Cricetulus griseus: one gene and its partners. The protein of the gene in region 2 interacts with the protein of the main gene of each other region in a pairwise test. Links are inferred from orthologs where the notes say so. Each region holds a gene or a part of one and is shown on either strand. Other genes may lie near its edges.

Evidence for each region. The genes of interacting proteins can lie anywhere in the genome.
Region 1: the proteins of Sipa1l2 (region 2) and Ap3m1 interact in binary tests that used the Homo sapiens proteins (3 or more experiments, as listed by UniProt). The two-hybrid records come from large-scale screens. The link is inferred for Cricetulus griseus from reciprocal best matches to the Homo sapiens genes SIPA1L2 and AP3M1.
Region 3: the proteins of Sipa1l2 (region 2) and Ddx6 interact in binary tests that used the Homo sapiens proteins (3 or more experiments, as listed by UniProt). The two-hybrid records come from large-scale screens. The link is inferred for Cricetulus griseus from reciprocal best matches to the Homo sapiens genes SIPA1L2 and DDX6.

Annotation. Positions count from the first base shown.
Region 1 is NW_023276807.1:199,945,412-199,949,082, forward strand, and holds part of Ap3m1 (AP-3 complex subunit mu-1), read left to right. Parts: intron 1-70; coding exon 71-156; intron 157-1,012; coding exon 1,013-1,146; intron 1,147-2,082; coding exon 2,083-2,290; intron 2,291-3,322; coding exon 3,323-3,467; intron 3,468-3,671. UniProt on the Homo sapiens protein: Part of the AP-3 complex, an adaptor-related complex which is not clathrin-associated. The complex is associated with the Golgi region as well as more peripheral structures.
Region 2 is NC_048596.1:202,346,624-202,351,079, reverse strand, and holds the start of Sipa1l2 (signal-induced proliferation-associated 1-like protein 2), read left to right. Parts: upstream 1-1,592; 5' UTR 1,593-1,768; intron 1,769-1,872; exon of another isoform or gene 1,873-2,302; intron 2,303-4,456.
Region 3 is NC_048597.1:156,312,224-156,315,894, reverse strand, and holds part of Ddx6 (probable ATP-dependent RNA helicase DDX6), read right to left. Parts: coding exon 3,554-3,671; intron 2,140-3,553; coding exon 2,011-2,139; intron 817-2,010; coding exon 700-816; intron 1-699.

The sequences.
Region 1 (3,671 bases), on a different chromosome or scaffold from region 2:
AGGTACAGTGAGAGCTCTAGAGAAGACCCAAATTCCATTAAGGTTATCAACTTTTTATTTCTTTCTCTAGGATCTACAGTGTTTGCAGAAATTCAGGGGGTCATTGATGCTTGCATTAAGCTCTCTGGAATGCCTGATCTCTCTCTCTCTTTCATGGTAAGTTTTGATCTGTTCTACAGTCCCTTTCATGCCTAATACATTTGAAGTGCTAAATGATGTGATAATTACCAACATAAGATTGTATCTGAAATTTTTTTATTTGTGTGTGTGTTTGAGTTGGCTTGTATTTACCAGGGCACACGTGTGGAGATGAGAGGGCAACATCCAGGAATTGATTCTCTCCTTCCACCGTGTGGTTCCTGGGGATCAAACTCGGGTCCTCAAGCTTGGCAGCAAGCACCTCTACATGTTAAGCTATCTCCCCAGCCCTGGAGTTTGTTTATTAGGTTACAAAGGGCTATCTCAGAAATATTCCTAGCACAGCTTTCCAGAGAGGAGCTGACACACTGAACATGGCCTTTATGGAAAAGTGGAAGGGAAGTCTTTACCGAGTGTGCTATAAGTGGCTCAGAATTCACTGTCTAGCTTTTGTATCTCCACTGTCATTTTTACCAGATATTTGCTCTGCTTGTGTAAAGAGACATTGATGCTTTGCATCATTTAGATTCAGCATGACACACTGCTAAAAACAGCTAAGAGAAGTGTGTTCTGGTTCTGTCTTTGTTACCAGTTTCTCTTGACTTTCTTCAACCTCAGATTTCATCATCTATGGAATATAGATAATGCTGCTTGTTTTTTCTCCCCACAGTTTATAAACTTCAAGTAAAGTAATGTATATAAAATGTTTGCAAACTTTAAAAGTTCATGAAACTAAAAGGTTATTTTGATGTGTTCCTAATAAATTTTTACACTGCCTTTATGACTTAGGGAGCCTATTAATTTATCATAATATGTAAATACTGTTGTCATACTCCTTATACACTGTGCATATGGCTTTTTCTTTTCCTGACAGAACCCAAGGCTTCTAGATGATGTCAGCTTCCACCCGTGCATCCGGTTCAAACGTTGGGAATCAGAAAGAGTTTTGTCATTTATTCCTCCAGATGGGAATTTCCGACTCATATCATACCGTGTCAGCTCACAGAAGTAAATTGATGCACCAGCCAGAATTTGCCATCACAGACAAACAATTTGAATAGAACTCCCCTGCTCTTGTTTCATTTTTACAGTTTAGTTCTTGAGTTCATCTTGGCTTGCTTACTCAGCCATGGCTCACCTGGAGACCTAGTGAGAACTGGTGATATGTACCTAAAACAATCAAGTGTTTCTGAACCTGAAAGTGGAGTATGGAGGAGAGTAGGTTAAAATCTGTACCTAAAAGCAAGCCTTTAAAATATGCATAACCTGTGCAAACCATGCACTTGGTGCCTTAATCCTACTGTGTTCTCTAACCTGACAAGACAGCCACGCCCTAAGATGTTTCCTCAGATATCTGCTTCAAGTGTTCTCTACATTGAGTTTGAGGGGTAGGAGGTGGTTCTTATTTTTAAGATAGAGCCTTATTTGTAATCCAGACTGGCCTCAAACTCTGAATCCTCCTGCCTTAGCCTCCTGAGGGCTGGGATTATTGATAGTAAAACCACACTCAACTTGAACAGTTTAACATTGTCACCTGTAACTAACTTGTCCCTTTAAATACCAGAAAGCATTTGGGTAGCAAACTGAAACTTTTTTTCAAGAATTATTTCTTAGCACTTCAAATTCTTTTAAGGGCCTCTCCTCCCTTCCTCCCTCTCCTTTTCCCTCCCTCCTATAGCCCTCTACCCCAGTGTTTATACTATATTTAAACCAGATTTCTGTTTTGGCTTATGTGTTTGTTATCAACCCAAACTGTCCTAGCACATTGGTACAGAACACCCTGCTGTCCTCAACAACCCCAGTGCAGAGGCTGCATCTCCTAGGGTATATGGCCCTGTGGCACAGTTACAGACAGCATGGAGCACATGCTACACCTGGAGTTGTCCATACCTTTCACTATGTACATATGTACTTTCGTGTCTTTCTCTCTGTGTCTTTTTGTAGTCTTGTGGCAATACCAGTGTATGTGAAACACAGTATCAGCTTTAAGGAAAACAGCTCTTGTGGCAGATTTGATATAACAATTGGACCTAAACAGAATATGGGAAAAACTATTGAAGGAATCACAGTGACTGTTCACATGCCAAAAGTTGTACTGAATATGAACCTGACACCAACACAAGGCAGCTATACATTTGATCCAGTAACCAAGGTACAGCCGCTTCAACAATGAAGAGTGAGCAGTGTTGTGTGATCTCTTTTGTGGGTGGGGGTGGAGGACACAGTAGTTGGGAAAAGTGTCCTTGCATTACTTACACATGCCTCTATAAGGGTTTTCAGAGACTATAAAAGATGATTTTTCTCTCAGCTGCTCTGCTTCCTTAGTTAGCAAATGTGCAGAATAATTGAGTGCTTGATAAATGAGATATGTTTTGTTTGATTGGGGGGGGGTCTTACCGTGTAGCCCACTCAGAACCCCCTGCCTCCGAGTTCTAAATTAAAAGTATGTATCACCACACCTACCTGAGGTGTAATTTTGACTAACTTCATAGAGCATTTTTTTTTTTGGGGGGGGGGTTGGGTTTTGTTGTTTTTGTTTTATCTTGTTTTTTGAGACAGGGTTTCTCACGGTAGTCCTGGCTGTCCTGGAATTCAATATGTAGACCAGGCTGGCCTGGAACTCAACAGAGGCCTCTGCCTCCTGAGTGCTGAAATTAAAGGTGTGAGCCACCACACATAGAACATTAAAAGATCTTCCAACCTTGGAGCTGGGGAGATGGCTCAGTGGCTAAGAACACTCAAATATGATTCCCAACAACCATATTGGAGGCACAGAACTGCCTGTAGCCTCAGCTGCAGGGGATCTAACACCCTCTTCTGGCCTCCATGGGCTCTGTATTCTCGTGCACAACCCCACATAGATACATGTGCGCATATAAAGAACTTCTACATCTTAAGAATTCCAGAACCTTCCAGAGACCATGTAAGTCTAAGCAGGAGAGTTCCACATCCTTGTCTTCCACTCCAGCTACAGCCAAACTTTCATCTATTACTGTTTCCACACAGGTGATTTCGCTGGAACAAAGGGTCTGTAGCTGAAAGTTTAATGATAGTAATGTAAATCGGTTGTCTATTCCAGGGTTGTTCTGTTTTTCAAGACACTGCTTCATTTTATGTAGGAGCTTCTAGTGTCTGTTAACCTCTGTAACACATGGTTCAGATTTTTTTCTCTTGTCTTTTTAAGGTACTAGCATGGGATGTGGGGAAAATTACTCCACAAAAGCTCCCAAGTCTTAAAGGACTGGTAAATTTACAGTCAGGAGCACCCAAGCCAGAAGAAAATCCAAGCCTCAACATACAGTTCAAGATCCAGCAGCTTGCTATTTCAGGTAAAGATAGGTATGCTGTGTGTCAACAGGAAATTAGAATTAGGAGTTTGGAAGAGTTCTGACAGTTCTGCCCTTGAAAGAGCAGCTGCTCCAGTTTGCCTGCTGTGGTGCTGACCTCAAGGCACCAAGCGTTTGGGAGAACAGCTCCTTTTACATTCTTCCATCACACGTGCCTCATCACACCTGCATTTAAGCACCAGAGAT
Region 2 (4,456 bases):
AGGCCTTTGAAAGGCAGGGAGGGAGGCTTAGGGGAAAGTGAACCGGAGATGATGAACCTATGATAGCTCAAACTAGCTTGCTTTTACGTGCGTGTGTGAGTGATTGCTTGCATTCACCTATGTGTACTACATGAGTGCAATGCCCAGAGAGGCCAGAAGAGGGCTTCTGATCTTCCGGAATTGGAGTTAAAGATGTTTGAGAGTGGTCATTGGAAGCTGGGCACGGAAGCCATGTCCTCTGCAGCAACAGTGAATGCTCTTAATGGCCGAGGAATCTGGATCATACTGGCTTTTAGCCAAGCTCACCTGTATGCTTCAGGGTTGGTACTTTTCTTTGAAACTTCAGCGGCCTCCAAACCTTTGCTAAAAGAGGCATTTTATATTCTTTCTGTAAGATACCCTGAGTCCATGGCCATGCACTGCCCTTTTACCTCCTTACCAGAAACTCTGCCTTGAGTTTCTTCTGCACATGTCCGGAAAGTAACAGAAAAAGCTTCCCAGGAAGCACAGCAGCATAGGTCATTTATCAGGCCCCATGTTTGTTCAGTGCATACACAACCTTGTAAACGCTAAGTATGAGACAAACCTTGAGAAAGACCTCAAAACCTGGAGATCTCAGGAGTGTTGTGTCATATACAGGTCGCAGACATGTTTTGCCAGGCCAATTCCTATGCATTCCGCCTGAATTATAAAATGATATATAAAGGACTGGACATTGTGTACGCAGAGAAATACAACGTGGGTGGGGATCCACTTTGTTTAAATTTTACCAGGGTGTGTGTGTGTGTGCAGTCGGAAGCACTGCGACCGGGAAGGAGAGATAACATCGTAACATTACCTCTTCCAGGGAGAAGCTCAAAGTCCCAATCAACCCAGATCGAGACTCTGGTGACACAACGTGAAAGCCCGCTCGGCTCGGGAAATCCTGCCACCAGCACCTGTCTCATTAACGCCTCCTGGAGCCGGGACATCTCAGAATAGGGCCCAATACAGGTGTACTGTAGCCAGCAGCAGGTGAGGCTTCCTGGAGGACAGACAAGGCCTGAACACGGAGTGTAGACGTTCCGGGCAGGCGAGAGCCTACACGAGCATCACAGGTCCCCCAGACCGGCGCGGACTGCGCTTAGGACTTTTGCGTCAAGTGAATCCCCCGGGCTTCGCCGGGCTATGGCGACCCTCAGGAGGCCAGAAAGGTAAGAGCCTGCGAGGCTGAGAGTCCACACCCGGAGAGCACGGGTCGCTCCGAGGGCGCCCCGACTCGCGAGCGGTGGGAGGCCAGTTGCTCCTCGCCGCAGGCTGAAGCCTCGCGCTCCCAGCCACAGGCAACTCGCTCTCCCAGGACGCTCGCGCGCGCCCGACTGCAAGGGACGAGTCTGGCCAGGAGGCGCGCCAATGGGCGTGGGCGGAGAGCCCGAGGCGGGGCCTGTCCTGTTGGCCAATGGGCGTGGGCGGAGCTCTAGGGGCGGGGACTGTCCTGGTACTGGCCAATGAAAGGGGCTGCAGAGCTCGGGGTGGGGCCTGCCGGAGCACCGGCCAATAGGTGGGGACGGGGCGCGTGGGGCGGTGCCGGGGCGGGCGGCGGCGGGGAGCCGGCTGCAGACGGAGCCGGCGGCCGAGGACGCAGCGCGGCGCCTGGCGACAGCTCGAACCGCGGGCGCAGCGGCCGCGCGGGGAGCGCGCCCATGGGTAGCGCCGGACGGTGGCGGGCGGCGAGGCCCCGGCTTCTGCGCGCCGGCCTTAGAGGGGCCCAGAGGACTGCCGCTCCGAGGTGCGTGTCGGGGGGTGCGGGGTGCGTCCGCTGGTGCGGGTCGTGGGGACCGGACCTGCCCGGCTGTGTCCAACTTGCGGGCCGCTCCCCCGGGGCTCCCGCTCCTTTGTACGCGCGGGCTTGCGTCTTCGCGGGTGAAGACCGCGGTCGGGGAGCTACCCGGCAGCGCCGGCACATTCATTTCAGCCTGGCCGCAGAACCCAGAGAATCAATTTCGGCTCATCCTCCCGAGAGCGAGAGCCGAGAACAACTTGGCGTCACCCCTCAGGGAGACGTTTGTCGTCATTAACCGGCTCCGGGTATCTTAATTCAGCCGGCCAACGCCAGCACCGGCGAACCGACAGCAAGTGCGTCTTCACGAATTGGGGCTCGGCGGTACCTGATTTTGGTCAAAACAGGTCTTAGGCGCTTTGGATTCTGCTTAGAGTTGACTTGGTCTGGACAAGGATGGCTTTAAGAAAGAAGAATAAACAGCGAGAGAAAAAAGCAAAGCGGAAAAACACCCCCAAACCCAAGTCATTCACAGAAAACCGGGTATCTTGGTTATTCTCATTGGTTTTCCCAGTAACTTCAAAATAGTCCCAGAAATGTTCCTTTTGTCTGCGGTTTCACTTCTAAACTTTAACACTAGATGGCTTTCTTATGACAGGCATTTAGTCCACTGGCTGCTTGAGTTTCCTGCGTCTGCAGTCTAGGCTGGGATTTATTTATTTATTTAACGTCTTACAAATTGAAATGAAAGGGAAGAAAGTATCCCAAACTGCTGCTTTGTTTGAAATATACTGTTCCCCTTAAGGCTTAAGCCAGTTATTTTTGCAAATACGGAAAAGTGGGCTTTGATGTATACCACCTAAAAGGTGAATATGAGCAAGCTGCTCCTCAGCTGCGCTCTGCATCGTGTTTTGACTTATTTGGAGAATGGAGAGTCCTAGGGGTGGGTTTGATGATTACACTTTCGTAGATTTCTACGTGTGCTGTTTTCACTGCCCGGGTTTAGTTTGGAGGCTTCGGGAACAGGCAGAGATGGGGTCTGTGGTGGAAAGAGCAGTCTGTCTTGAGTTTGGGGCTCATGCAGGGCTGTTCGTGCCTGAGGGTTGACCAGCAGCCTTTGAGGAAGATCTGTAGTCCAGTGCGTCTGCCTGAGTCATACTGAGGATTGTGTCAGGGACCTCTGCATTTCCTTCTCCCCTGATGAGGTCTGCTGCTGCTTTTCTGACTGAGCACAGCTCTTTAATGACTAGTACAATTGCCTCTAGTTAACTGGTCCAGCAGATTTTTACATTCTGGGTTAAGTGCTTTTATTTTTTTGGAATTAAACCTAGAGGCTTGGGTGTGCTAGAGAAGCACTCTACCACTGAGCTGCATTCCCCGTCCCACTTATTATTATCTTAAAATAGTCATCTATTTATTGTTATTATTTTAGAAGAGTCTACCTAGGCTGACCTCACATGGTAGCTCAAACAGGCTTTGAATTTGTGGTCCTCCTGCCTCATGAGTGACTTAAATGACAGGTGTGCCCTGCCACGCCCCACTTCTTGTTCAGTACTTTTACTCTACAAGCAACATGACCGCTAGCCCCAAGTCTTGCCCAGATAGGCAGGCTTATTAGCCGAAGAAATTTGAGTTTGGCTTTATAGTTGTCATTTCTTGTGTGTCTTGCTTGGCTTAAAATATGACATGTTAAATTTGTATGTTCTAAATTAGAATGTATTCTTAAATAGCAGAAGGGGGGGATCCCCGACTGAGTAGACATCTGGGAAGTGGGGAACATAATGAAACAGGAACGGCTTTCCTCACTACCCACGTGCTACCTAGAGATGGGGTGAGGTGAACTTGCATAAGAAGCTCTGTAGACATTTGCTCCAGAGGATGAAGAGAGCAACACTGGATCCAGTTAGGGTATGGGGGTGGAGCTTCCGCTTGGGAGTGCAGGCCTGGGAATTGCACTGTCTGGCTCGAGTGTATATTTTTCAGAACATGATTTTGATATTGTAAAATGCTACGCTTCTGTAAAGAGCTTTTTTTTTTCCTCTGTAACTTTTAGCCTTATGAGTAGGATTATCATCTTGGTCAAAGCTATGGAATATACATTTGGAAGGGTCATCTACTCCCCTACCCACTACCCCACCACTGGTATGATTTTGGAAGGGAATCTTCTTCACCTGAGACAAGGTCAATTAGACACTTGAACTCTATTTCTGGAACTGAGGAATTGTTAGTACAAATGACAGTTATCTGGTAATTGAAACTGGTTTGAAAATGCTGTGTATGGGCCTAGCCTGCCTCGGAATTGTGCTTCCGTTGGCATGGATCTGCCCCTTACCCCTTGTCCCAGCAGTAGTTGTTAAACCCAGCTTTGGGAAGCTTTGAATTGTCTCTTTGAACTTCTGATCTCTGTGTGGTAGTTTCAGATTACAAGTCTTTACAAAGGCACAATGAATTTTAAGAAAACTTGGATTATGCTTGTTAACTTGAATGAAATATGAAGTCAAACCCTAAAGAATACACAAGAACCATGGTCTAGATTTTCTTCTTGTACCTATGTAGGCTTTCTTTTTTGGTTGAGTAGGAGGAAGGGTGGGACCCTTGAGGGCTGTTCTTTGTAGTTCCCTAGGAGAGTTTGGATAAAGTAGAGCACAATTCCTTTTGACTCCAAAACTATAGGTTTCTTCTCTCTTTTTTTCATTT
Region 3 (3,671 bases), on a different chromosome or scaffold from region 2:
GCCCTTCGCCTCCCCACAGGGTTTCATGTAGCTCAGGCTAATTTCAAGCTTACTAAGTAGCAGAGAATGACCTTGAATTCTTCATGCATGTCCTCTCTATAGCATCTAAGTGCTGGGATTTCAAGCATGGACAAGGAGATCTTTAAGCCTGGTGGTTTAAATGAAGGGGTGTTTGGCTACTAAAGAAAAGTTCAGCCAGGAAGCGGGGTGGGGGGGTGGGGGAAGGGTTGGGGTGGTAATTGGTTGCCCACACCTTAATCCTAGCACTTGGGAGGTAGAGACAGGTAGATCTCTGTGAGTTTGAGGCCAGCCCGGTCTATAGAGTTACTTCCAGGACAGCCAGAGCTGTAACACAGAGAAACCCTGTAAAGTTCAGTTGTTGGTTCTTTTCCTGGTACCAGGGATTGGAACTCAGGACCTTGCACTACTACTATACCCTAAGTCAAAAACAGTATTATTTGGGGCTAGAGAGATGGTTGACAGGTTAAGAGCACTGGCTGCTCTTCCAGAGGTCCTGAGTTCAATTCCCAGCACCCACATGGTGGCTCACAACCATCTAATAAATAAATCTTTAAAAAAAAATAACAGTATATTCTCATACATAGGCATTTACGGAATATTAAACAAGAAGAAAACAAAGTGTTTTTTTTTTTTTTTTTTTTTTTGTTAAATCTATGTAAGTTCTAGAGTTACACTCACCTGCCTCATTTTAGCATGGATATAGAAGCAAGAGTAACCCAGCTGAGAAATCTTCTTGGCCAGTAATTCAACTCTTTGAGAAGAGTTGCAGAAAATGATCGACTGGTTTATCTGAAGCTGAGCACAAAAGAAACATATGAGAAAGACAAAAACATTTGTTTTGCCAATATTGAAAATATTATTTAGCCAAAACTTTAAAAAGTCTAAAATTTAGAGTTTCCCAAGAAAGAGAGGAAGTTGTTAAAACAAAAACAAAAACAAAAACATAAAAAATGTAGCGAAGAGTTGCTGTTGAGAACTGGTTTTCTTGCGTAGAGTGTTTCATAAGGGCCACCTAACTGCTTGAGACAAAATGACAGAAGCAGTGTTCACAGAACTCATGCTCTCCAAAGCCACTGCTAACACACTGCTAACCAGCAAATAGGAACCAATGCTTTGGAGCTGGAGAGATGGCACAGCTTTTGCAGAGGACCCAAGTTTAGTTCTCAGCACACACATTTTGGGTTCACAACTGCTTACAACTCTCTTTCAAGGGCTCTGAAACCCTTTTCTGGACTCTTCTAGCAGCTGCACTCATGTGTATATAACCCACACAGACTCATACATATACATAATTGAAATAAGTAAAACAAATAAATAAAAAGAACCATTGTTTCTAGGAAAAATACAAAGTTAGGCACTTGTGAACCTCTGGTCACATTTTGTAAATAGCATGCAGTTTAACGTGTTTTCATTTCTTTTAAGCATGTCTTACTAAATACATCTATAGTCTCAAACCAATTTAACCCACGACTGCAAAAAGCTTATCCAATCCATATTTTCCCTGCACAGTCTTCTTGTGCTTAAGATTAAGAGTACAGGACAGCATTTCAACAATGGTGTGGGGACCATTTTGGAATGAAATCACAAACAGCTCAACGACTGAAAAATTAATGCTTATATACAGCATGAGAGTTAAAAGAAGACATCAGATTGTCCTTTTCTTCGACCTCATCAGGGACCAAATTTTTTTTTCTTCCCCCATACTGCACATGTCTACAAAATGACCACAACACCTTCAGTACTGATTTGAGGTCACAAATGAACTTCAGCATCTCGGTGCATTCACAAAGATAGAATCTACATCACCAGGATGAACTGTAATTAAGGTAGTTACTTAATAATAAAAGAGCCCGTGTCAATCAGCTTCAACTTTAAACCAACCAAAGCTGTCTTTTATAAAACACTAAGACTTTTTTACAGCGAAGATAGAGGGAAATGCTGTAACTGTCCAGATTCCCTGGGACTCAGCAGGAAAAGCCCACTACTTACCCTGGAGAAAAGTGTGTTGAGGCAGTGTACTTTTTGGCGTTCCGTTACATATGCGTAGTACTGGGTCACTCCCTTCAGAGTTAGTTCCTCCATCAGGTTAATCTCATAGGGTTTTTGCAGATGGGAATTCTGGGGTGGGGAGAGGAGGGGAAAGGGAGTCTTAAGCCTGGGTTTCCTCTCCTAAATTGCAATGCATACATTTTCGCCTTTTTTTGGGTGTGTGTGTGTGCAGTACTGGGGAATTAAACCGAGGGCTTCAGGCATACTAAGCAAAGAGCTCTACCCCTGAACTCAATTTCTTTTCCCCAAGACTGGGTTTCTCTGTGTGGTCCTGTCCTAAAACTCACTCTGTAAACCAGGTTGGCCTGGAATGCAAGATTCTCTTGCCCTGCCTCCCAAGTACTGGGATTAAAGTCGTGACCACTGCCTGGTATCTGAATTCAATTTCTTGACCCAAATTTATCCCTTTTTTTGTCTCTTGCTCCAATGGATGCATCTCTTTTCAAAACAAGTATTCATAAAATAAATAACATAGAATGGTACACCTCAGATTCAAAATGTAACTATGTTAGAGATGGGCATGGCTATACATGCCTGTATCCTACCACTCCGAAGGCTGAGACAGGAAGATAACCAGAACGACACTGGTAGTTTCCAGGTCATGTTTTAGGTATAGGATAACACTGTAACTAATTACTAGCATCTATGGGATATGTCATCTTGCCACAAAGAGTTAAATAAATAAAATTACCTGCCACCCCATGCCCCCCCCACAGAGTCTCACAGCTGGGCCATGGTAATAAATGCCTTTAATCTCAGCACTCAGGAGGCAGAGGCAGGCAGATCTCTAAGTTCAAGGCCAGCCTGGTCTACAGAATGAGTTCTAGGACAGCCAAGGCTACACAGAGAAACCCTGTCTCGAAAAACCAAAAACAAGCAACATAAAAGAGAGAGAGAATATGTCTCATTATGGAGCACTGGATGGCTGGGAACTCATTATGGAAAAGAGGCTGGTTTTAAACTTATGGTTCAAAATATAAAATTTTAAAAATTTTATAAAATAATAATAAAAAAAGGACAAGCCAGATGTGATGGCACATACTTTTAATCCCAGCACTTTGGAGGGGGGAGTCAGGTCTGAGTTGTTGGAAGGTGGCCTATTGGCCAGGGCTACATAGTAAGACCCTGTCTCAAAAACAAAACAAACAGCCGGGCGTTGGTGGCACACGCCTTTAGTCCCAGCACTCGGGAGGCAGAGGCAGGTGGATCTCTGTGAGTTTGTGACCAGCCTGATCTTCAAGAGCTAGTTCTAGGACATCCTCCAAAGCCACAGAGAAACCCTGTCTGGGGGGGGGGACGGAACACAACAAAACAAAACAAAACCCAAATTATAATAAATCTATACACAAATCTTTACTGATCACATGAAAAGAAAATCCTGAAATAGCATAAAGCATATAATCTAAGAAGATGTAATTACATATAAAGGCATACACTCATAGGTACTATTATGACATTGACTCCAAGTAGGTTTAATACTTACCATAAACTTTTGTACACTAAGAGGGAAAGTAGCGGAATATAGTAAAATCTGCCTATTTTTAGGTAGTGTGAGAATAATATCCTCCATTATCTGCACAAAATCCTGTGACAACAACTTA